Cricetulus griseus: one gene and its partner. The protein of the gene in region 1 interacts with the protein of each later gene in a pairwise test. Links are inferred from orthologs where the notes say so. Each region holds a gene or a part of one and is shown in the gene's direction. Other genes may lie near its edges.

Region 1 (10,720 bases):
CTCTCACTTCCTCAGAGATGGGGGAACCAGAGCACAGAGGAAGCGTATTTACACGTGTACTTGTCTTGCCAGCCATCATGCTGTGCCCTCAGGAGTACTGCCACCCAGCCCCTCTCTCTACAGGCCCCGAGGGAAAGGCTCTGAGCCTACCTCATCTACTGGGGTTTGCCTGCCAGGTAGCTGAGGGCATGAGCTACCTGGAAGAGCGTCGTGTTGTTCACCGGGACTTGGCAGCCAGGAACGTGCTGGTGGGTGATGACCTCACCTGCAAGGTGGCTGATTTCGGCCTGGCCAGGCTGCTCAAGGTGAGTGGGGTTCTAGGCTGCTAACCTCCGCAGAGGGAAAGGCACTACTCTGAATTCCTCACCGTTACCCCACATCCCCAGGATGACGTCTATTCACCAAGCAGTGGCTCCAAGATCCCTGTCAAGTGGACGGCACCTGAGGCAGCTAATTACCGAATCTTCTCCCCAAAGTCAGACGTCTGGTCCTTTGGCATCCTGCTGTATGAGGTCTTCACTTATGGCCAGTGTCCCTATGAAGGTGAGCCATCTGAGAGAAACCATGATTTATCAGAGCAAGTGTAGTCTGTGGGATGTAGCCTGGGGTCCACCCTAAGGGAGGAGATAGACCCTGCCCTGAGAGTCACTGACCCCCAAAGGTCAGTGGGCTGGAGTACCAGCACAGACTGGTCATGCAGAGGATAGAGTTGGGGGAATCTCTCTGGTGACCCCCACACAGAATCAAGGCAGCTGCTGCCTGGCCCCTCTTCTTGCTCTCCCCTTACCAGGAATGACCAACCATGAGACACTGCAGCAGATCAGTCGTGGGTACCGGCTGCCACGCCCAGCTGCCTGCCCAGCAGAGGTCTACATGCTTATGGTGGAGTGCTGGAAGGGCAGCCCTGAGGAGCGTCCCACCTTCGCCACACTGAGGGAGAAGATGAATGCCATACACAGGCGGCTCCATCCCAGCCTCACGTGACCAAGTCTCCAGCCCCACATGCAGCAGATACAGCAGCTGCTTCCTGAAGGGTGTCTCCCAAGGAAACACTTGTCACCAACACACATGGGAGATGCTGCACAACTGGGAATGGCAACAGCCTCAGAGAATCCAACCCTGGGGCTCCTTCACTGCATAGGCCAGTACCAGCATGGGCACACCAGATGGATGGACAGACACATGAGGACTGGGCCTGGTCATGAGCACTCACTTAGAAGTGAAGGCTGATGCCCTCCCCCTGGTGTGGTTTGAATCCCCAGTGTCTCCAAAGTGTTGGTGAAGGGTAGAAGAGGAGCTGTGAGGAAATGCTGGACAAAGGAGTACCAGTAGAGGCAGCAGTTTCCTCCCTACCCTCACCTCACCCCGGGCTCCCTCAGCGCCCTCCTACAATCAAGGATGAGAAGCCCAATTTCTCTGTCTCACTGTGGATTTGGTTAGTATCCAGGGCTAGGGCTCCCAAGCATATCTCACCAGTACAGGCTGTGCACTCCTAGGGGACAGCAGTTATCACCTGCCCACACCCACTGCACCCACAGGTACCGGCAAACTCTAGGTGCACAGAGTCTGCTTCAATAAACATGCCCCAGTGGATTCACCTACCAGCTTCCAGAATGAAGTGGTGGAGGCTCTTAAAGATTTGAACCACACCCCAGAGCCAGAGCTGCTTTACAATGTGGACCCCCATGACATTAAAGGTGCGGACTGCTGGAGCCAAGTGAACAGCCCTTTCCAGCTCCCTGGCCAAGGGTTGAAGCTTCAGTTTCAGAAAGGGAAGACTAGTTGTTTGGTAGTCAGCACGCCCAGGCCTTTCCCAGATGCAGAAGGGTAAATTTCAAGACTGTTTCTTTGGAAGGGCAGTGTTTAGGAGGCAGAATTTTCTGGTTGGCAGGACTAGGCAGATATAGGTAGGATACTGACAACCAGACAACCTACCATCTGGGGCAAAGCCCCCGTGGGTCACTTTTGTGTTTGACTGGAACACCTTGAGAAGCTGGGCCCTGAATCACTCAACACTTTAGGGCGCTAGGAGCAGTATATTGAGGATTGGGGGTGGGGAGCTGTGCTCAGGTATTCAAGATCATTTCACTCTCCTTGTAGCTGTAGAAGGCGTATAAGGCAGAAAGGCTGGCAGTCCTCTAGAAGGGATGGAATTTGGGGCCAGCTCTGCACAGAGGCCAATGATCACCAACCACATCTGTGGGTTGGCTGAGAGCTGGGAACTGGATCTCATATGAAGTAACCCCTTAAGTAACAAGGAGTTTGGGTCCTAGCCAGTCATGGGCTTTCTCATGCGGAAGCAGGGCTGGATGAGGGGAACTGAGGGCATGGATTGCACCATAGACAGAGGCTTAGTCACTATGGGACCCACATCAACCTGCCTGCAGGTTCAGAACAGAGTGCTCCTAGGAGCTGTGGAGGCCAGCCCGACAGAGTGTGCTGACATTGGTCTTTGTAGGTGAAAGGGACAGTGGGATTGAACTGAGGTATGGCCCTGCCTCTGCTTCAGCCTGAAGCTCTGACCTCTTGAGAGGAGGAATCTGGAACTGACAGTTGGCTGCTGTGGGCTCCTTGCTTTGCCAGCACACACAACAGCAGTGTGGGCCCAAGGGCTTGCAAGGCATAAGATGATAACATTCTGATGTTAAGTGGCTACCATGAGTCAAACTAGGAGGACACTAGAGACAGGATGGGGAGAAACATGGTGCTGGGCTTGTGGCCAAGCCATGGAAGCAGGTTTGGCTGGGTCCTGGCACATTCCTTTGTGTTTAGTCAGCCAAAGATGAACAGGTCTGGCCCTCCTGGGAGAGGCCAGGGACTTTTGAGCTACTTGATATCTTTCATAGAGCTGCCCACAAAAGTCTCATTCAGGGACATGTGACTGTCCGGGATACAACTTGGGTTCAAGACTTGGGGCTCTGGAGCAGACAAGGAAAGCAACTGTGGAGTTCTTGAGGCTGATCCATGCCAGTACCATCCTCCTTCCTTTCCTCTTTCTGTAATTCTCCTTCCCCACACCTTGTTGGGAACTGAGTTGGGCTTGGTAGGTGTGGAGCTACTAATAACAGCATGTTGCTGTTCTTAATCCTCAAAGGTGGCAGGTGAGTAGTGCTATATCTCTTCAATGAAAGAAAATTCAAGGCCTGACACAGTTCTCACTGGTAGAACATTTGTTTATCATGCATGTGAACCAGGATTTGATCCTTAGCATGAAGCAGCACCACCACCACCACACTCCCCACCCTACCCTCAAATTCAAATAGTACTTTCATAGTCTCATACAGCTTTTTTTCCCAGGTCACTCATCCTTACAGACTTGTCAGTTTCCCTTCGCATCCTTCTCTGTGGCTGTCTTCCAGATCCTTATGAATGAGAAAGGTGGTTAGGGCCACTCTGGAGAGAGGGAATCTTTGGAGATTTCAAGGTTTAGTGTGGGGCAGGGGAGCAGGCAGGAAGGCTGTAACAGTCACAAGCAGGGCTGTAGGAATTGGGGTAGCGTGGAGTAGAAAAGGGACATGGTGGGAGTTGGGGGAGGGGACACAGAGCAGAAGGGGAGCCTGAGAAAGAGGGAGGTGGGGTTGCAGAGGCCCTGGTGGCTGCCCTCTTGTGTCCTTATCTGGGAAGACAGGACAGTGTCTGCTTCTTGAGCTGCGGTCTATGGACTACAGACATGTTTGAAGATACCAGAGGGCCCGCTAAGCCAGCCCGTAACCCACATGGATGTTCATGCCTTCATATCCCTTGGCTCCTGTTGTCTCCCCAGATGTCAGGCTGTGGTCTAGCATGCTGTCCTGGGTGGCTTCTTCAGGATAGATGAGCATCTGAGTGTCTTCACTCACTTCAAGGAACCAGAGCTTTGTAGCTAGCAGGAGCTCATGGGTCTCACCCAGGTCCCTCCCACCCTTGTCTCCAACACAGGCCCTGCCTGATTCTCTTGATGCCATTCCTAGATTTAGTCCTGTCAGTGTCTGGTGGGTGGACACCTCCCCAGGGAGGTGGCTGTCAGGACTGTCAAGTCCTTCATAACTCTATTTGTGTGTGTGTAGAAGGGAAGTCTCCATTGGCAGAGATACCAGCCAGTGTAGGAGAGGGTTTTTGTTTGTTTTTCTGTAGAAGAAACAGCACCTTGCGCTCTACTCTGTTCCTGTGTGTTCTAGCAAACTGCCCACCATCCTTGAAATTTCCCTCCACCCACTCCCCTCTCCATCTTTTGGCTCCAAGACTCACACCCCAGGGGCTGAGGGTTCAGCTGATACCTGATGCTCACCATCTAGTGGGCTCTTCCATGTAGCCGTGACTGGGTCTTGTCAAGGGGTTGCTGAGATGTCAGACTTCCACTGAATATGTGTGATCATGGAGCATGGTTTGACCCTGAAGACAAAAGAACATACAGGAAGCAAAAGGGCATTTGGGGTGGAGTCAGGCTAGTTCATCTCCAATGGGTGCTGGGTGTGGCTGCTCTCCTATCATGAGGAAGTAGGTGTGATTAGCTTGCTGGGAAAAGCCCTGCCTACTCCCAGGAGTAAGTGTCCATAAGCAGCTCATAGCTGGCTCTGCCATTGAGCCTGCCGTGATGTCTTGGGACAAGACCCACCTGGGCCCTAAATACATGGGCCTCTGGGACTTCAAGGCACGAACAGACGACGAACTGAGCTTTCAGGCGGGAGACCTCCTGCATGTTACCAGGAAGGAGGACCAGTGGTGGTGGGCCACCCTGCTGGATGCAGCAGGCAAGGCCTTGGCTGAGGGCTATGTGCCCCACAATTACCTGGCAGAGAAGGAAACTGTGGAGTCTGAGCCGTGAGTGGCCCCGGAGAGCTGGCACAGGGGGAGATGGGGTGGACACTGGGCTGGACTGGGGAAGCCAGAGGGTGTGAGATCCTAGACATTCAGGTGGTCATACTGTGATCCTTGACATTCTGGTATACAGGGTTGCTGATGGGGCCCTACCTCTGTGTGACACTGGGGAGTGGGGCCTCTTGTTTTGAGCCACCCAAGACCACTTCCCATACATACGGTTCTGCTAGGACCCAGATAGGACAGAAGGGCCTAGTATGGGTTTTTAGAATGCTGGCTGCAAGAGAAAAGATCTGTGTGGGAATTCAAGAACTGTTGGGGGTGTGAAGTTTGCTCACTTTCCAAACAGCCGGAACCAGATATGCAACCTAGTTAAAGAAGAGGTGTGCTGGGGCACACCTACTTGTATCACCTGTTGGGGGTACATGTTGCAAACACAGTGGTATGTTTTTTCATGTCCACTCAAGTACCTTAGTCCATTGCTCCTGGCCACCCACATACCTAAGCCCCTAGAGTCTTCAAGGAGCTACAGTAGTACCTGGTGTTGGCATGGCCACAGCTACCCAAGTACCCAAGCTATTTAGCTCTGAACTAAGGCTGGGAAGGGTCCAGCAGGAGGGGTTTCTTGTTTTGCTCCTCAGACCTCCCCCCCCCACAACTCATTTCACAATGAGCACCTATTGTGCTCAATGGAAGATTATGAGCACACAAGGGGACAAGAAACAAGAGTAATAATGGTACCAAGGACAGTTCCGGAGACAGGGCTCATGATGGGAACAAGGTAGGCATGAGCGGTATATATAAAAGACTGAGAAAAGCCAGGTGGTGGCATATGCCTTTCGCACTCATGAGGTAAAGGTAGATGGATCTCTAAATTCAAGGGCAGCTTGTTCTACATAGTGAAGTCCTGTGGCGAGAGAGAGAGAGAGAGAGAGAGAGAGAGAGAGAGAGAGAGAGAGAGAGAGAATTACGTGGCCAACATAGTAAGAGCAAAAGCTCTGAGGTCCAGAGAATCTAATCCAGGTGAATAAGTCAGAGGAGGAGTGCAGCAGAGGAGGCAAAGTGGTCAGAGGGGTGAGTAGGCAAGATTCTTTAACTTCACAGGACCTCAGGAGGTGGGCTTCAAGGGCTTGAGCTGAATATTAGGCTCCTACGTTCCAACTGATCTTGAGGGTGTTGGAGACTCCAAGGGCAGAAATCACCTATGGAATTCCAAGGACTTCCACCTGTAGTTCAGTTCAGGCATGCCCCATCCCTCATGTTGGAAGCCAGCATGCACAAATGCTTTGGAATGGGAGAATAAATATGTGCCACTGTGTCTGTGCAAGCACATAAGGGTGTGTGTATGTACTTGTGCAAGTATGCAGATGTGATCGCATGGATGAGAATGCATGCCTGTGCACATAAGTGCACATGTGCAAATGGATATGTGATTTGCATGGTTATGAAAACACGTGTGAAAGTATAAGCCAGGAAGCAGCACTGGGGATTGCTGTTGAGATTTCTCTCTCCCCTATTTCTGGGCCAAGGTTGGGATCAGTAGCTCTGGACCCACAAGCTGTTATGAGACATCCACATGATGGAATTGCAGGCCTTGAGGGACAGACTGACCCACAGGTGGTCATCCTCCAGAGCAGGATGGTAGGCAGTACTTGCACATCTATCCCACTGCTGGGCCACTAGGACATGTTCTGGTGTCCAGAACCAGCCGTTTAGGTCTTTCAGGGCCCATGATGGACCAAAAGGTTGGGAGCAACATGAGAAACAGATTAGTTGGGGTTGGGAGTATGAGATAGGAGCTAGGGGTAGCTAGGACTCCAGACAGGCAAGGCAAAGGTTAGATTGTTGAGAAACCCAGTGGACGTGTGTCTGGGGTGAGGATCAATAGGCTGAGGCTGACTTTCTCCCCTGCAGGTGGTTCTTTGGTTGCATCTCTCGATTAGAGGCCAAGCACAGGCTGCAGGCTGAGGACAACTCAAAGGGTGCCTTCCTGGTCAGAGTCAGCCAGAAGCCAGGAGCAGACTATGTTCTCTCTGGTACTGCTTCTCAGACCTCCCCTCACCTATACTAGCTCTGAGACTTTCCTGACCGCATGGTGATCTGCCTTTCTTCTGATTGTGAAGTCTGGGACATCTTCCTCTTCCACTGGAAGCCCTGACCCCTCCCTGTGGTCCAGCTACCCACTTTCAGCCTTTGAGGCAGAGAGCCAGGCACTCCAGGTTGGGTTGTTTCCCTGTGCTTTCTGGCATATCCTATGTGTGTCATGGAAACCAAGGCTCCACAGGTGGTCCACTGTGCACACGGCCCAATAACCTAGGGGTGCAGGAAACAACAGCCATGGCTTATGACAGGAGGGCCAGGGAGCCTTGGGCGGGCAGTGTCCAGGGTGGGAGCAGGGGCAGGCAAAGTGGGGGACTTGCAAGGTAGGATGCCTGCTTATGCCTCCTTCCTCCGGCCATCCACCCCAGTGCGGGACTCTCAGGCCGTGCGACATTACAGGATCTGGAAGGACAATGTGGGCTGGCTGCACCTGAGTGAGGCAGTATCCTTCCCCAGCCTATCTGAGCTCGTGGACTACCATAAGACCCAGAGCCTGTCCCATGGCCTGCAACTGACCATGCCCTGCTGGAAGGTAGGCCCCTGGCTCCTCTGTGATGTAGTTGGGGTCAGACAGGTGGAGTACAGTGTTGAGGCAGGAGGGGCTCAGAAAAGGGTATTCCTCTTGGCTGTCACTCTTATTACACTGACTCACCAGAGCTCAGTTGTGCTCCCGCTAAATCCTGACCCATGGTAGGTCGGGTGACAAGGTTCAGTGGCCAATTGCCTGATGGGGCTTATTAACCTTGATGGATAAAGACAGCTACATTTTTATGCAGGATGCTCAGATACTACTATGCTGGGGGTAGCTCTAAATTTAAAGATAAATAGAGCCCTCATGTGGGATTCAGAGCAAACACTCCCTGAAGACAAGCTGAGTGACCTAACCACCACTCCTATCACCACCATCACCCTTTCTGTCTCTCCAGCACAAAACTGAGCCCTTGCCCCACTGGGATGACTGGGAGAGGCCCAGGGATGAGTTCACACTCTGTAAGAAGCTGGGAGCCGGCTACTTTGGGGAGGTCTTTGAAGGGCTCTGGAAAGGCCAGGTCCGTGTGGCTGTGAAGGTGATCTCTAGAGGTGAGCAGGCCCAGGCCCAACTCAGCTTGGTCACATGTTACTTCCCCACTTGTTCTACCAGTGGGCACTTCTAGTCTCACCCGGCTAGAGGTATCCCAACATACTTACTGGGTACCTACAGCATCATGGTGGGAGTAATTTACTTCAATTGTACCCATTTTTATTGAAACGTCACTGGAAATGTGAGTTTTACCTAGAATCCCAGCCTCACCCTCAGGTTTATACCTGATCCTTCAAGGATCAGGTCAGCCAAGACCTTGAAAATATCCAGATGGGAAGTTTTGACTTTGGCAGTTGTGACCAGGTGGGGCATAGGAGGACAGATTGACACATCAGGCTTGGGGCACTGAGGCCTTGGTGGTGGTGATTTAGTGCTGCAGCTTGGGGGCTAGCCTTTGTCTTCCTAGGCTGACCATATTTCCTGAGCTGCTGCAGGAGGCCTGGACCTCGTGCCTGAGGCACAGGTCAAAGACTATATTCACTGAGCCTGGTGTCTCTCAGAAAACCTCCTGCACCAGCACACCTTCCAGTCTGAGATCCAGGCCATGAAGAAACTGCGACACAAGCATATCCTGGCACTGTATGCCGTGGCATCTGCAGGGGACCCTGTCTACATCATCACAGAGCTCATGCCCAAGGGAAGCCTGCTGCAGCTATTACGGGGTAAGTGGCAAGCTCCACCCTCCTTTCCCTGAGGTGAAAGTGCTAGAGGCAGCAGGAGATACACATAAAAGAGCCAGACCAATAGGAACACAATACAAGCCTGGTACGTGAGCTAGCTTGCTGGAGCCCATTCCCTTTGGTGGGATACCATGCTCAGCCTTAATGCATGGGAGAAGGGCTTGGGCCTGCCCCAACTTATTGTACCAGACTTTGTTGACTCCTCATGGGAGCCCTTACCCGTGAGGAGTGGACTGGGGGTGGGCTTGGGGGGAGAGGAGGAGGATCAGAGTAGGGATGGGAGGGAGAACTGTGGTTGGAATGTAAAATGAAATTTAAAAGAACAAATAAATTATAAGGAAACAAACAAACAAAAGAGCCAGCAGACATGCAGATCCTACCCATCCCTGCCTGACCCACACAAAACAGCCAGGAGTCCCCAGATGAACTTGTTGCTTTCTTGTTTAAGAAGTTACTTATTTTTTTTTAAAGTGGTGGTTGGTGGGGTGGGGGCTGGAGAGATGGCTCAACAGTTAAGGGCACTTATTGTTCTTGTAAAGGACCAGGGTTCAGTTCCCAGCACTCACATGGTGGCGCACAACCATCCATAATTCTAGTTGAAGGGGATCTGACACCCTTTTTTGGCCTCTGTAGGCATCAGGCATGCATGTGATAGATACACAGACATACATGCAGGAAAAATACTCAGACACATAAACTATATGTAAAAACTAAAGATGGAAGCTGGGCATAGTGGTTCATGCCAGAGGCAGGCTGATCTCTGTGAGTTCGAGGCCAGTCTGATCTACAGAGTGAGTGCCAGGACAGTCAGGGCTACACAGAAAAACCCTGTCTCCAACCTCTGCCCCTCCTCCTATAAAGACCTAAAGATGGAGAACAACCAAGGAAAGACATACACATGTACACATGTGCACAAACCCACAGTAACAAGTACATGCACCACACCACTAATACCACACCCCTCAAACACACAAATTGAAAAACAAATGGCCGGCGAGATGACTCAGTGGGTAAAGTGCTTGCAAGGCAAGCATGAGGACCTGTGTTTGAATCTCCAGAACTAATGCACAGAAGCACACATCTGTTATCCCAAGGCTCCTACAGTGAGGTAGATGGGAGGAAAACAAAAACAAAAACCCTCCTTCACCATGTCAAAGATGAAGACTAACACCCAAGGTTGCCCCCTGACCTCCATACACATGTACACATACACATTATACATATACAACAAATAAAAAGCAAATGACTTAAAATATGACAAGTCTGCCAATTGCTGATCATAAAATTTGAAAAGCTATAGATAAGTACAGAAGAGAACACTCAACCACAATGTTTATACACACAGTTAACTGAGGTCACTTTACTATAGGCTCTGTGTAGCCTGCTAGTGACCTGCAACAGCCCACTAGCTTCTCTCTCTTCCTGAGACCTGCTGTCCAGCCATACCTATATGTCCTTATACCCAAACACATGTGAAACACTGAAATACACAAATACAGACATTCACACATGGCATAGATGTACCCTCACACATGTAGACACAACTCATCTCACCGACAAGAAGACACCACTGTCTGTTTTCTTCAACACAAAACCAGCCATCCCCACCAGCTGAGGTACTGTGCAAAGATGCTACCAACTTCATACAACAGGGAAAGGTAGGGTGGCAGTGTAGGACAGTCATGCCTGGGGGTATATGTATTAACATATCAAAAGCATTTAGAAGAGTAAAGTTGTGTAATTTTCGGCAGGAAGTGGTCTTCAGAGATCAAATGCATGCCCCTTGTAGGTGTAGCTGTTAGTATTCAGGCATCTGTACTGGCCTGTCCTCGGGGTTCTAACAGGATATGCCCTCGGCTGCAGCCACTAAGAACAACAACTGTGCATATTCACTATGTTCCCTTTTAAAAGGGCCCTGTCCACCTGCCATTCCTCTCTCTTATTCTCTTCCTCTCTCTCTGTCTGTTCCCCCCTTCTCCCCCCCCATTTCTTTCTACTGCTGCTCCCATCCCCAGAGGCTGGTCTCCCTCCTCCCCTTTTCCCTTTTTATGACCCCTTTTGC
Region 2 (10,985 bases), on another chromosome or scaffold:
TGCAGGTGGGTGGACCCCTTCAGGGACCCTAGGACTCCTGCTTTTGAGAGGCCCTTCCTGCTCAGCCTCAGGATCCCAGCCCATGAGTTGGAGATGAGGGACTCTGGTTGGGAGGCATAACTCATACTGAGCAGATAGCCAGGCAGCCTTGCGTGTGCAATGTCAGCCTTGAAAACAGTGGGGACAAAGGCCCCATGGCAGAGCTGCCCAGCGCAGAGGAGGCTGCAGCCCAAGGGGTATATGGAGCTACTAGCCTGGCAACAGCACTGCCCCGTCACAGTGGCTTGTGGGAGCTCTGGGAGGTGGGTGGGAAGTGGCCGGCCAGCTGGCCAGCCTGGGCTGTGTGGCAATACCTGGTTACAAAGAAGGTCCTTGTGTGCTGCAGGCGGGGCTGGGGTTATCGGGGGAGTGTCACCTGTCTGCCTGTTCCATCCCCAGGTCACACTGATCCCTACCTTCGACTCAGCGGTGATGCACAGGTGGTATGAGGAGACGCACGAGCAGCACCAGGCGCTGGGCATCAGGGTTCTGGGCAGTGGCAGCATGGTGTCCATGCAGGACGAGGCCTTCCCTGCCTGCAAAGTGGAGTTCTAGCCACGGGCCACAGCACACCCTGAGGACAGCAGCTCCTCACTGCAGCTGACTGACTCCCCAGCTTCCTCCCCAGCACTACAGATGGAGCAGTGTTGCTGTCATTACTTGTTTGTGCCGGGCACAAGGCAGGCTAGCCCTCCATCCTAGCACTCAGGTTGCAGAGGCAGGAGGTTCCAGGCCAGCCAGGGCTGAGCCACAGTGAATCCTTGTTTCAAAAACCAAAACAAATAAAGCAGTTGAGTCAGATTTTGGTCTTGATGTCTTAGTTAGGTTTCTAGTGCTATGTAAACACCTTGGCCATAAACAACTGGAGAAAGGGGTTTGCTCATGGCAGGAGGGAGCCTGGAGGCCTTGGAGGGGAGCTGTTTACTCGTTTCCCCCCTGGCTTGCTCACTGTGCTCTTACACACCCAGCCCAATTTGGTGGGGGCAATTTCTTATGTTCCCTCTTCTTAATGGCTGTAGCCACCACACTTGGAGACAATTGGGAGCCTTAATTGAGAAATTGTCTATATCAAGCTATAGGTATATTTTCTTAATTAGTGATCGTTGCGGGAGGGCCCAGCCTGTGGTGTGCTATGCCATCCCCTGGCTGGTGGTCCTAGGTTTCATAAAAAAGCAGGGTGTGCAAGCCAGTAAGCAGCTCCCCTCCATGGCCTCTACATCAGCTCCTGGCTCCATGTTCCTGCCCTGTGTGAGTTGCTGCCCTGACTGCCTTCGATTGTGAACAGTGATATGGAAGTGTAAGCCAAATAAACCCTTTCCTCCCCAAGTTGCTTTGGTCTTGGTGTTTCCTCACAGCAATAGAAACCCTGACTAAGACAGGGGTGGGACACCGGATGCCTTGGCTCTGTACTCAGCGCCGCCCATGTCACAGGCAGTGAGACAGGCACCAACTCTGTAGAACCTTGATTCTGGCTTTGCATCTCCAGACCAGACCTGTTTGAAGCAGCTGTGGGCAAGGCTATGTCACCAGCCAGGCAGCTTGTAATGAAGGCTCTGGGGATGGGTGCTAGGTAGGGGATAGAGCTGGTGGCATACGCCATTTGGAATCCAAAAGCAAGTCTGTCTGCCACCACAAGGCCTCCACAGGTGCAGTCAGCACGGTGGGTCACATGTAGTAAGACTGCACTGCGGGAATGAGCCCAGGGCCACAGCCCCATGAAGACCTACTGCTCCCCCTGCAGCCTGAGTCCTTCCAAGGCAGATACACCCTGCCCACCTTCCACAGCCTTCACTGGCCACAGGAGCCACCATCTCAGCCCCACAAGATGGCACTCTGGGCTGGGTCACTTTGTATTATTTTGCATGTGTGTTGCAGTCAGAAAAAAACTTGGAAGGATGGCTTTCCTCCCTCAACCCAGTGGGTCCAGGGATTGAACTCCGGCTTTCTGGCTTGGTTGCCAGCACTTTCATCCACGGCCATGAACTTAACAGCAGATCTGCTTTTAAGCATCCTGAGTGCTAAAAGTGACAGGTGTCTCAGGTCTCAGAATTTATTCTTTCAGATTTATTTTGTATGTACCAGTGTTTGCCTGCATGTCTGTCTGGGCACCACATACTCGCAGTGCCCACAGTGGTCAGAAAGTCATCAGGCCCTTTGGAACTGGAATCCTGGAAGGGGAGTGATGAGTTGACCCAGCTCTCTCCAAGGGTAGCCAGCGCCCTTGGCCTTGGAACTCTCTTCTGCCCTGTTTTTGTTTTTGTTTTTGTTTTTTTTCTTTCCTACTGTGGCGTCTTCCCTGGGCCTCATTCATTCCCTATGCGTGCTCACAGGTACTTCAGTCAGCCTGAAGTCTGTGGTGATGGGTGTCCCAGCTATGACGGAGCAGAAACAGTCGCTGTGTCAGCCCCAGGGATGGGCCCTCAGGGATCAAAGGTCATCTCTGCTGACCACCTGTCTATGTGATGAAGAGGATGCTGGCAGTCATCAGGGAGTCCAAGACCCTCCTGGTCCATCAGGCAGCAGTGCTCAGGAGGCTACAGCTGTGGAGCACTGGGGCCTTGAGTTCACCTCCCAGCAACTCATCTCCCCCTTGCCAGCAGAACCCACAGTCAGGGGTCCTGAACCGGAAGAGCAGTCAGTACAACCCATGTCTAGCACCGCTGGGAACTTAACACCTCAACTTCCCGACTGAGCTTTCAGCACTTGACCAGGCCAGCTGGCAAACTCACTACATAAACCTTAAACTCATGATCCTTCCACCTCCACCTCCCAGCTGCTGGGGTGACAGGCTTGTGTCACACAAATGGTCCCGGGGCCCAAATTCTGCTTCCTGTGAGCGCATGCAGGCCAGTGTTCCAACTATAGGCACTGCTGACTGAGCTCCCCCAGTACAGGCACAGATGTTCACCAAGGTTGTGATAGGAGGCTGGGTCCAGCCAGCGTTTTGTTCGGGCTGGTGGGCTAGGTGGCCATCTCCAGGGGCCATCCTCCCTCACAGCAGGCCCGTCATGACCCAGCCCCTTCTGCTCACTCCTTTCCCTCCCTCCCTTCCCATTATGGCTGATTGCACACTAAAAGCAACCATGCAGCCAGCCGGCCGTGGACGCTAGGGGGTGCCAGGCCCACAGCTCAGAGCCCCAGGGAATTGGACCTGGGGCGGAGCGCGAAAGGAAGGAAGGAGACCAGTAGTGTGTGCCAGGGGCCGGCCAAGTGCTTTCATTGTCCAGGATGCTGAGGCAAGAGGACGTTTACATTAAGGCCAGCCTGGGCTACATGGTGATATTGTTTGAAATGGGAAAAAAAAAAAAAAAAGGGCCGGGCGGTGGTGGCGCACGCCTTTAATCCCAGCACTCGGGAGGCAGAGGCAGGCGGATCTCTGTGAGTTCGAAACCAGCCTGGTCTACAGAGCAAGTTCCAGGACAGCCTCCAAAACAATACAGAGAAACCCTGTCTCGAAAAACCAAAAAAAGAAAAAAGCAAGAGGACCTGAGTTCGAATCCCAGAACCCTGGTAAAAAGATGCTCTTGAAGGGTCTGTAATCTCAATACGTGGTTCCGAGGCAGGAGGATGCCCGGACTCGCTGGTCCCCAGACTCAGCAAGCGATCCTGTGTGTGCGTGCATGCGTGTGCACGCGGGCGGAGGCGGGGCTTCCGGGGACTCGCGCGGTTGGTTTGGGCTGTGCCTTCCCACCGTGCGCGTTCCCGAGGCTGCAGCGTCTCCTCCCCAGGTCTTAGCCGCAGGTCCCAGCCTCCCTTCCCCGCCCCTCGCTCGCCCCTGGTCCAGGTTTGCAATGGGAGTCGCGGGTGTGAATGCGGTCAGGGAGCAAAGGGCGGAGCCCACGCCCGGTACCTTCCCCGGGGGGAAAGCCAGGCGGCTTCGGAGCGGGAAGAGCTCCGAACGGCAAGAAAAGGACCAATCCGAGGGGAGATGGCGGGTGGGGCGTGGCTCAGTGTAGAACAACAGCTGAGTGTTCGCAGACACCCCCTAATCCCATTTTACCCCCAAAACAGAAGGAAGGAAAAACCGTAAATAAGAAAAGAAAGAAAGAAAGACCGTGCGGTTCTGGGAGGTCCTGCAAGAGCAACCACCCTGGCGTCTTGGTCACAGTTTGCCAGACCTTGTCACGGCAGAGCAAAGCTGCCCACTTCTCAGAGGCTAGAAAGGGGAGCTGGGTGACCCCTCCCTGCAACTAAAGCCCCACCTCCTAATGTGTCAGTTACCTCCTAGTCCCTTAAACTGGGAGTTGTTGGTGGACTTACTGGTGGTGGCCAAATCCTCTGTTTTCAACTTGGGAGCCCAGGCGAGCCTCTGCATCGCTGAGATCCCGGCGGGAAGTACTACTGTGGTCGGCTGGCTCTTTTACACTGCTGCATACTGTACCCTTTGGAAGAACATTCTGGATCTAAACCCCTAACCATTCGATCTGACTCAGGCTTAGGGCTGGCTCCGTTGCTAACTGTGAACACCTTGCTGTAAAGCAATGCGGGGCCGCATGCCAGTCTGTCATGAAGGGCAGCCAGGGCAGGACGTCAGGCAGGAACCGAACGGGGCCGTGGGGAGCGCGCCTTACTGCTCTGCTCTTAGGGCTTCTCGGTTTGCTCTTTCCGCAGCCCAGGGGTGGAGCTGGGTTGTCCGGCAGACAGGTCCGCAGCCTGGGGGAGGCGTTTTCTGTGAGGTCACTGAGGTTACTTCCCAGGTTTGATAAAAATCTAATCATCATGGTCACCCATTGAGAGGTGTGCATAAATGGTATACACAATCACACACACACACACACACAATCACACACACACACACAATCACACACAGACATACACAATCACACACACACACACACAATCACACACAGACATACACAATCACACACACACAATCACACACACAGACATACACACACAATCACACACACACACAATCACACACAGACATACACACACAATCACATACATAGATATACACACACATGCACATACACACATAATCACACACAGACATACACACATAACAATCACACACACAGACATACACACACACAATCACACATACACTCACACACAGACATACACACACATGCACACACATTCACACACACAATCACACAGACATACACAATCACACACACAGTATCACACACACATACACACATGTACACACGCGCGCATTTAAAATGTCTAAGGCCTTTGTGACCATTCTCAACCCCCAGAACCTGAAGGTGACTCGAGAACTGAATGTCACACAGGCTCCCTGGGCAGAAAAAGGACACTTGGAATATGTAGCTCTTGCGTGGCGCTGGATTCGGTCACCACAACAGCCTGAGTAAGTTCATGACGCCTAGTGTGAATGGATGGACTAGAGTTGCCTTGTGACCTCCAAAGCAACTCCAAGCGCTCTCAGTGCCTTTGTTTGTAAAATGAGGCTCCGTATTGAATATTACCTCGCTCACAGCCTTGGAGAGGTTCCTCAGTGAGCCAAGCACACTGTAGGCACTCAATAAATGCCGCTCCCTCAATAAATGCCTGCACCTCCTGCCACTTTAAACTATGCAAATAGCCTGCGGGTGAGTGGCGCGGCTCCACCAACCAGCGCAAGACTTGTGAAGCTCGGCGAGGCGGAGCTCCTCCCGACCACACCCCATGGGCGGGACCGGCGGCGCGCTCCGCAGCGCGCGGGGAGGGCGGGGCGCGGGTCCAGAGCGCGCAGGTGGCGGCGGCGCGGGGTGAGTGTCCCCGGACGCGGGGCGCGGGGCGCTTGTTCCCGAGCGTGGGGCGAGGAGCACGGGGTGAGTGTCTCCGAAAGCGGGGCGCGGGCGAGCGGGCGAGCGGGCGTAGCCGTCATCCTGAGCCCGCCCGAGCGCAGGTGCTGCCTGCAGAAGGCGGGGTGCTGCTCCCCTCAATCCGGGTCTGGGAAGCGGGGACCACGAGGACCCCCAAATTCCTCCTCCAGATCTTCAGCTCCCAGGACCTAGGGTAGGGGCCGCCTCCGTCGCTGCCCGTGTGGTCCCTGTCCTCGCCTGACAGCCGGGGTCACCTCCCTCCCATTTCACTTGGCAGGCAAGTGGGGGCTCTGCAGGGCGAGGCAGTGGAGCGGGGCCTGGAGCGGCCTGGAGCCCGCACCGGGGACTCCCGCGCTCTGTGAGGGGGGCGGCCTGCGTCTGCTCCCAGGGACAGAGTTAGTCGAGGTGACTGAGATGGGATGCGGAGGAGGTCGAGGGTGGCAGCCCCTCGCTCGACCGCAGCACCGCGGAACCTGCTTCATGGTGACCTTGGGCAGGTGACAGCACCTCCCTGACCCCCAGTCTCCTCTTTGAAATGTTGAGGTTGAAGAGGCCAGCCTGTCTGTCTCAGAACCCCAACATGCACACCCCATTTTCGTCAGATGGAGATCCCAAAGACTCAGTTTTCGGCCCTTTAAAATGGGTTGAGCCTGGCAGGGTTATTCCTGTCCCTGGGAGGCTGAGCCTGCAGGATGGCGTGCACCTTGTGGCCAGCCTGGGCTACATAGCCAGGCTGCCCGATGGGTACAGTCTGGCCTTCGCGGAGGAACCTAGGACCGGGAGAGGACAGTTCCCACATGACCATTAGGCGGGATCCGCCTCCTATGGAGACCTGGCCTCTGTCACCCGGGTCCGGTCCCGGTCCCACCGGTGTGGCTGCCCGTCACACCCTGACCCACATACTGTCACCGATGGCAGGGCCCAGCCGGTTCCTGGGCGGAGTCCCAGGTGGGAGGTCAGGCGCTTAGCCCCTGCCCCTTGCGGGACGGTGGGGTGAGTCCCAGACAGGTGTGCTCAGGCTGGCTGAGCCTTCTGTGACATGGGCCGGAACCCCGTGGGAAGATCAGAGGGGACAGGAGAGTGAGGCCGCGCTGTAAACACTGCTCCTCATGATATTAATTATTAATTGCATACATTAAATGGGGTCATGGCCAACGAGAAAATGGGATGTGTCTTTGAAGGGTGTGACCAGAGTCACCAGCACCTATGGACTGGGGTACACAGTGGTGCTCAATGTGTGTGCATCTAATGAAGTGACCCAGCCGAAGGATGGCACAGGGGCCTCAGTTTCCCTGCCCGGAGCACTGGCTGAAGTCTGGGGGCAGCATGAGCTTCTGTTTGATGGGATCACAAGGTTCAGAGAGGAAGGCATGGGTGAAGGTCACACAGCAAGGGGTCAAGGGCTGTGGGCACAGCCAGCCCACACCAAAAACCCAAAATTCCACTACCCAGGCATGTCTATTCTCTGTGTCCAAGCTGCTGTTCCAACACCCAGGCCCCAGGTTTTGGGGAATTGGTGTGGGGTGGAATGCTGTGTGACGCTGAGCAAGTGCCTATCAGTCTCTGGGCCTCATTCTGGTGTTTCAGTGTCCAGGAAGTCCTGGGTTACATTGGGAAAACTGTCTTAGCTCCACAATATTTTTAGGGGCCTCCATGATGTTTTAACTTCTTTTCAAATCATATTAGTAAAAACAAAACAAAACAACCCCCCCCCAATAACATGGGGATGAGGGACACTCTGTAGTATTCAACATCTACATTTCAAAGTCAGGCGTGGTGATACACCCCTGTCACCCCAGCACCCGGAAGTCTGGGTGGGGAGATCAGGACTTTGAGGTCATCATCTGCTATATTTAAGGCCGGCCTGGGCTACATGAGACCTTGTCTAAAACAAGCTTTAATCTGTTGGCCCTGAAGTAGTTGTAAAGAATGTTTGGGTTCCCCTCTCTGAGGGGAGGCTTCAAACATTTTCAAGCCTCAGTTTCCCTCTTGGTTATCCTGGCCCAGCTCCGGGTGTTGTTGTACTTATTCTAATTAGTGTTTCTCTAGTAATGGTATTGTTGTCCCCACCTGCTCCCTCAGCCCCCGCCCTGCATGCCACCCTGTGGCTGTGGGCAGGTCCCAGGGGTGCTGGGCGGGGAGGTGACGGTTGGGTGGCAAACAGGGCGGGCCAGGCTTCCTGTCCTCCTCCAGACATGGGCCTCCACTCAGGGCTGGCGGAAGTGTCAGGGGCCCATGGCCTCCCGGTGTTTACTCCAGCCCCTAGGGGCTCTCAGCCCTGTTCGGCGCCCATGGGTGAGTTTGATCCCAGCATACATCTTTGTCACCTCAGAACAGGAAGGTGTCCCACAGCTGTGGGCTCAGGTCTGGGGTCAGCCATAGCTGTCACTTCCTGGGCCAGGTGGCAGCGTCAGGGCCCATTCTTGGCATCACCTCCTGCCACCCCAGGTCGGCCCTGACCAGAGTGCAGGTTGTGGAGCTTTAGGGCCACTGGGTGGAGTTCTGGGCACTGAGGTGGGCAGTCTCGGCTGTGAGAGACAGCGTTTGACATGGGTGTGATAGCCGGTGGGGTGAGTGAATGTATGGGGTTGGGGACAGTGGCTTTGCCTGTGGCGGGAGGGGGTGGGGGACTTCCGGGAACAGCACCCATTCCCCAGGAGCCTCTTCAACCTGGCAGAAGTTCATCTGTCCTGTTGGAGACGGCTGCCACATCCCCAGTGTGGCTCTACATGTGAGGGCCTGGCCACAGGGGGATGAAGTTGCCACACGGGTGCAGGGGGATTGAGTCCCCTGTCCTCCAGCACATTCTAAGGGATTCAGATAGGCTGGCTGGGTTCTAGCCAGGCACCAGGATGCAGGAGGAAGGTGGTGTGTTGGCTCCAGGCTGTCACCACAGTACTTGGGAGACTGAGGCAGGAGGATGGACATGAGTTAGACGTCAGCCTGGGATGCAAAGTGAGACCCTGCTTCAAAAATCAAACGAAACAAAGAAAAACCATACTATGGACATATGGGGATTTCCTCCTGGAGTGTTAGTGTGTCTCACCACAGAGAAGCTTCTAGAAGCATTGCCTAACCCAAGAGTGGGAGGGCAGATATTTGAAAATGAAATCATTATTTCCCTGGTGAACTCCTATGCCTGCTCCAGGGCCTCAGTGGCCATACCCCTCCCACTGGACCTGGTTTCACCAGCGTCCTCCTTATATCTGGGACACACAGCCTCCCAGGCCAGGCCAGGGGAACCTGCCAGGCACAGTGACATGCAGCTTGAGTCCCTGAACTCTAGAGGCTGAGGCAGGAGGATCCAGAGTTCCAGGCCAGCTTTCCGTGTTAGGTAAACTGAGGCTCTGAACTAAGTGGGTCCTCCCAGAGGGGCCAGGATAGTCTGGTCCTATGGTCAGCTGTCCCTGTCTAGTCTGTTGTTGGGCCTCCTGGCTCCAGCTGTCGCCTGCAGCCCAATAGCTCATGAACTATGAATGAGCACACCAGCTCCGATGACAGCTGAGGATTCTGCACACCCCTCTGTGCCACACGGCCCCACCCGATGCAAAGTGACCTGGGTTTTCTACCTCCTACAGATGGAGAAACTGAGGGACAGAGCCGAGTGACTCAGAGCCAGGTGAACAGTGGCTTTCAAAGGTGGTTGGGACACATGGAGCCCCTGACAGAGGGAGGAACTGTGTCCATGACACTTCAAGGGACTCTGTACATCATGCACAGACTTCTCCCACAGAAACCACAGACACAAAATCCGCGGTCCCTTCATGCCATGTGACCTTGGCAAGTAGCTTCCCCTCTTGGGAAGTGACTCAATTTACTTAAATCTAAAATGGCCTAGAGCCATTCTGTTCATCCAATACCACTGTGGACTTTACCTATCCATGCTTTAAAACCCCTTGTACCATGGCCCCCTCCACTCTAGCTCCTGTTCCCCAGCCAGTGTTCAGCCCCATGGGACCAAGACATATATGCCCCTGTTACCTAGGGCCACAGGGCCAAGGCTAAGGCATTTCTCAGGGCCTGGCCTGCTCCCGGCCTTGGACCTTCACTTCCTTAGTGAAGGGAGGGTGGGTGGAATTTCCCTGGTCAAGCTCTTGTTGGGTTATGATTCAACCCTGAAATGTACCTCTCTTTTCAGACAGATCCTGGACAGAGGCCAGCAGGGGTCTCCTCAGAGGCCACCAGGATGTCATATTTTGGGGAACATTTTTGGGTAAGACGTGCTGTTTCTTCTTTTTCTTTTCCCTTTTGTTCTTCACCACTCTATTTTGGTGGGGGCTCAAAAAGAGCTGTAGAGATTTTGTATGGTCGAGGAGGAACTGGGCAGATAGAAGGTAGAATTTAACGGGTGGTGAATGCCTTTAATCCCAGCACCCGGGAGGCAGAGGCAGGAGGATCTCTGTGAGTTCAAGGCCAGCCTGGTCTCCAGAGTGAGTGCCAGGATAGGCTCCAAAGCTACAGAGAAACCCTGTCTCCAAAAAAAAAAAAAAAAAAAAAAAACCTTGGAGACACAGGTTGCTTTGACCCAGGACAAGGAACACAAATTATAGCACTGACAATCAGGCCCAGAGCAGCATGTGTGGTCTGAGAATCACTCAGTAGAAGAACACAAAGCTGGGTGGCCGTGTACACACCTGGGATCCCAGACCTGGGGAGGCTGAGGTAGGAGAGTGGCACAGTCCCTAGCCAGCCTGGGCTATACAGGAACGTTTCCACAGATGGCATGTTAGAACCACAAATGACATGTTAGAATCACAGATGACATGTTAGAATAGCATGACCTTGCACCTGGGCCACACTGAACTCCTCAGATCTAGGCAAGCCAATCAGGGAGATTCCATTTTATTTTCATTTTGGGAAATTTGTTTTTTGGGGGAGATTGCCCCCCCTCTTGTCCCTCTTGGCCATCTAGGCCTGCTGCAAACCAGGTCTGGGGATGGGAGACTCACATCTGAGCCCTGAGAAAGGAGCTGCCATTCTTAGTGACACAGAGCCAGCCTGAACCTGTGGCTCAGCCCATCTACAGTTTGCTGTAGCTCTGAAGGCCAGTTTTCCAGGATGTGCAAAAGCCATTACAACCACAGGAAACACCCTGAGTTCATCTCAGAGGTGTGACGCTGGGTGGCACTCAAGGATCAAGGTCTCCTCCCAGTTGGTTGGGCCAGGGAACTG

The links. The genes of interacting proteins can lie anywhere in the genome.
Region 2: the proteins of Ptk6 (region 1) and Fcho1 interact in binary tests that used the Homo sapiens proteins (3 or more experiments, as listed by UniProt). The two-hybrid records come from large-scale screens. The link is inferred for Cricetulus griseus from reciprocal best matches to the Homo sapiens genes PTK6 and FCHO1.

Annotation. Positions count from the first base shown.
Region 1 is NC_048599.1:696,729-707,448, forward strand, and holds the start of Ptk6 (protein-tyrosine kinase 6), read left to right. Parts: upstream 1-4,573; coding exon 4,574-4,800; intron 4,801-6,711; coding exon 6,712-6,833; intron 6,834-7,265; coding exon 7,266-7,429; intron 7,430-7,823; coding exon 7,824-7,977; intron 7,978-8,478; coding exon 8,479-8,640; intron 8,641-10,720. Other genes in the region: tyrosine-protein kinase Srms, read left to right, coding at 124-305, 387-543, 791-984. UniProt on the Homo sapiens protein: Non-receptor tyrosine-protein kinase implicated in the regulation of a variety of signaling pathways that control the differentiation and maintenance of normal epithelia, as well as tumor growth.
Region 2 is NW_023276806.1:248,090,837-248,101,821, reverse strand, and holds the start of Fcho1 (F-BAR domain only protein 1), read left to right. Parts: upstream 1-5,709; 5' UTR 5,710-5,819; intron 5,820-9,391; 5' UTR 9,392-9,432; intron 9,433-9,951; exon of another isoform or gene 9,952-9,955; 5' UTR 9,956-9,999; coding exon 10,000-10,026; intron 10,027-10,985. Other genes in the region: Map1s (microtubule-associated protein 1S), read left to right, coding at 1-5, 439-594. UniProt on the Homo sapiens protein: Functions in an early step of clathrin-mediated endocytosis. Has both a membrane binding/bending activity and the ability to recruit proteins essential to the formation of functional clathrin-coated pits.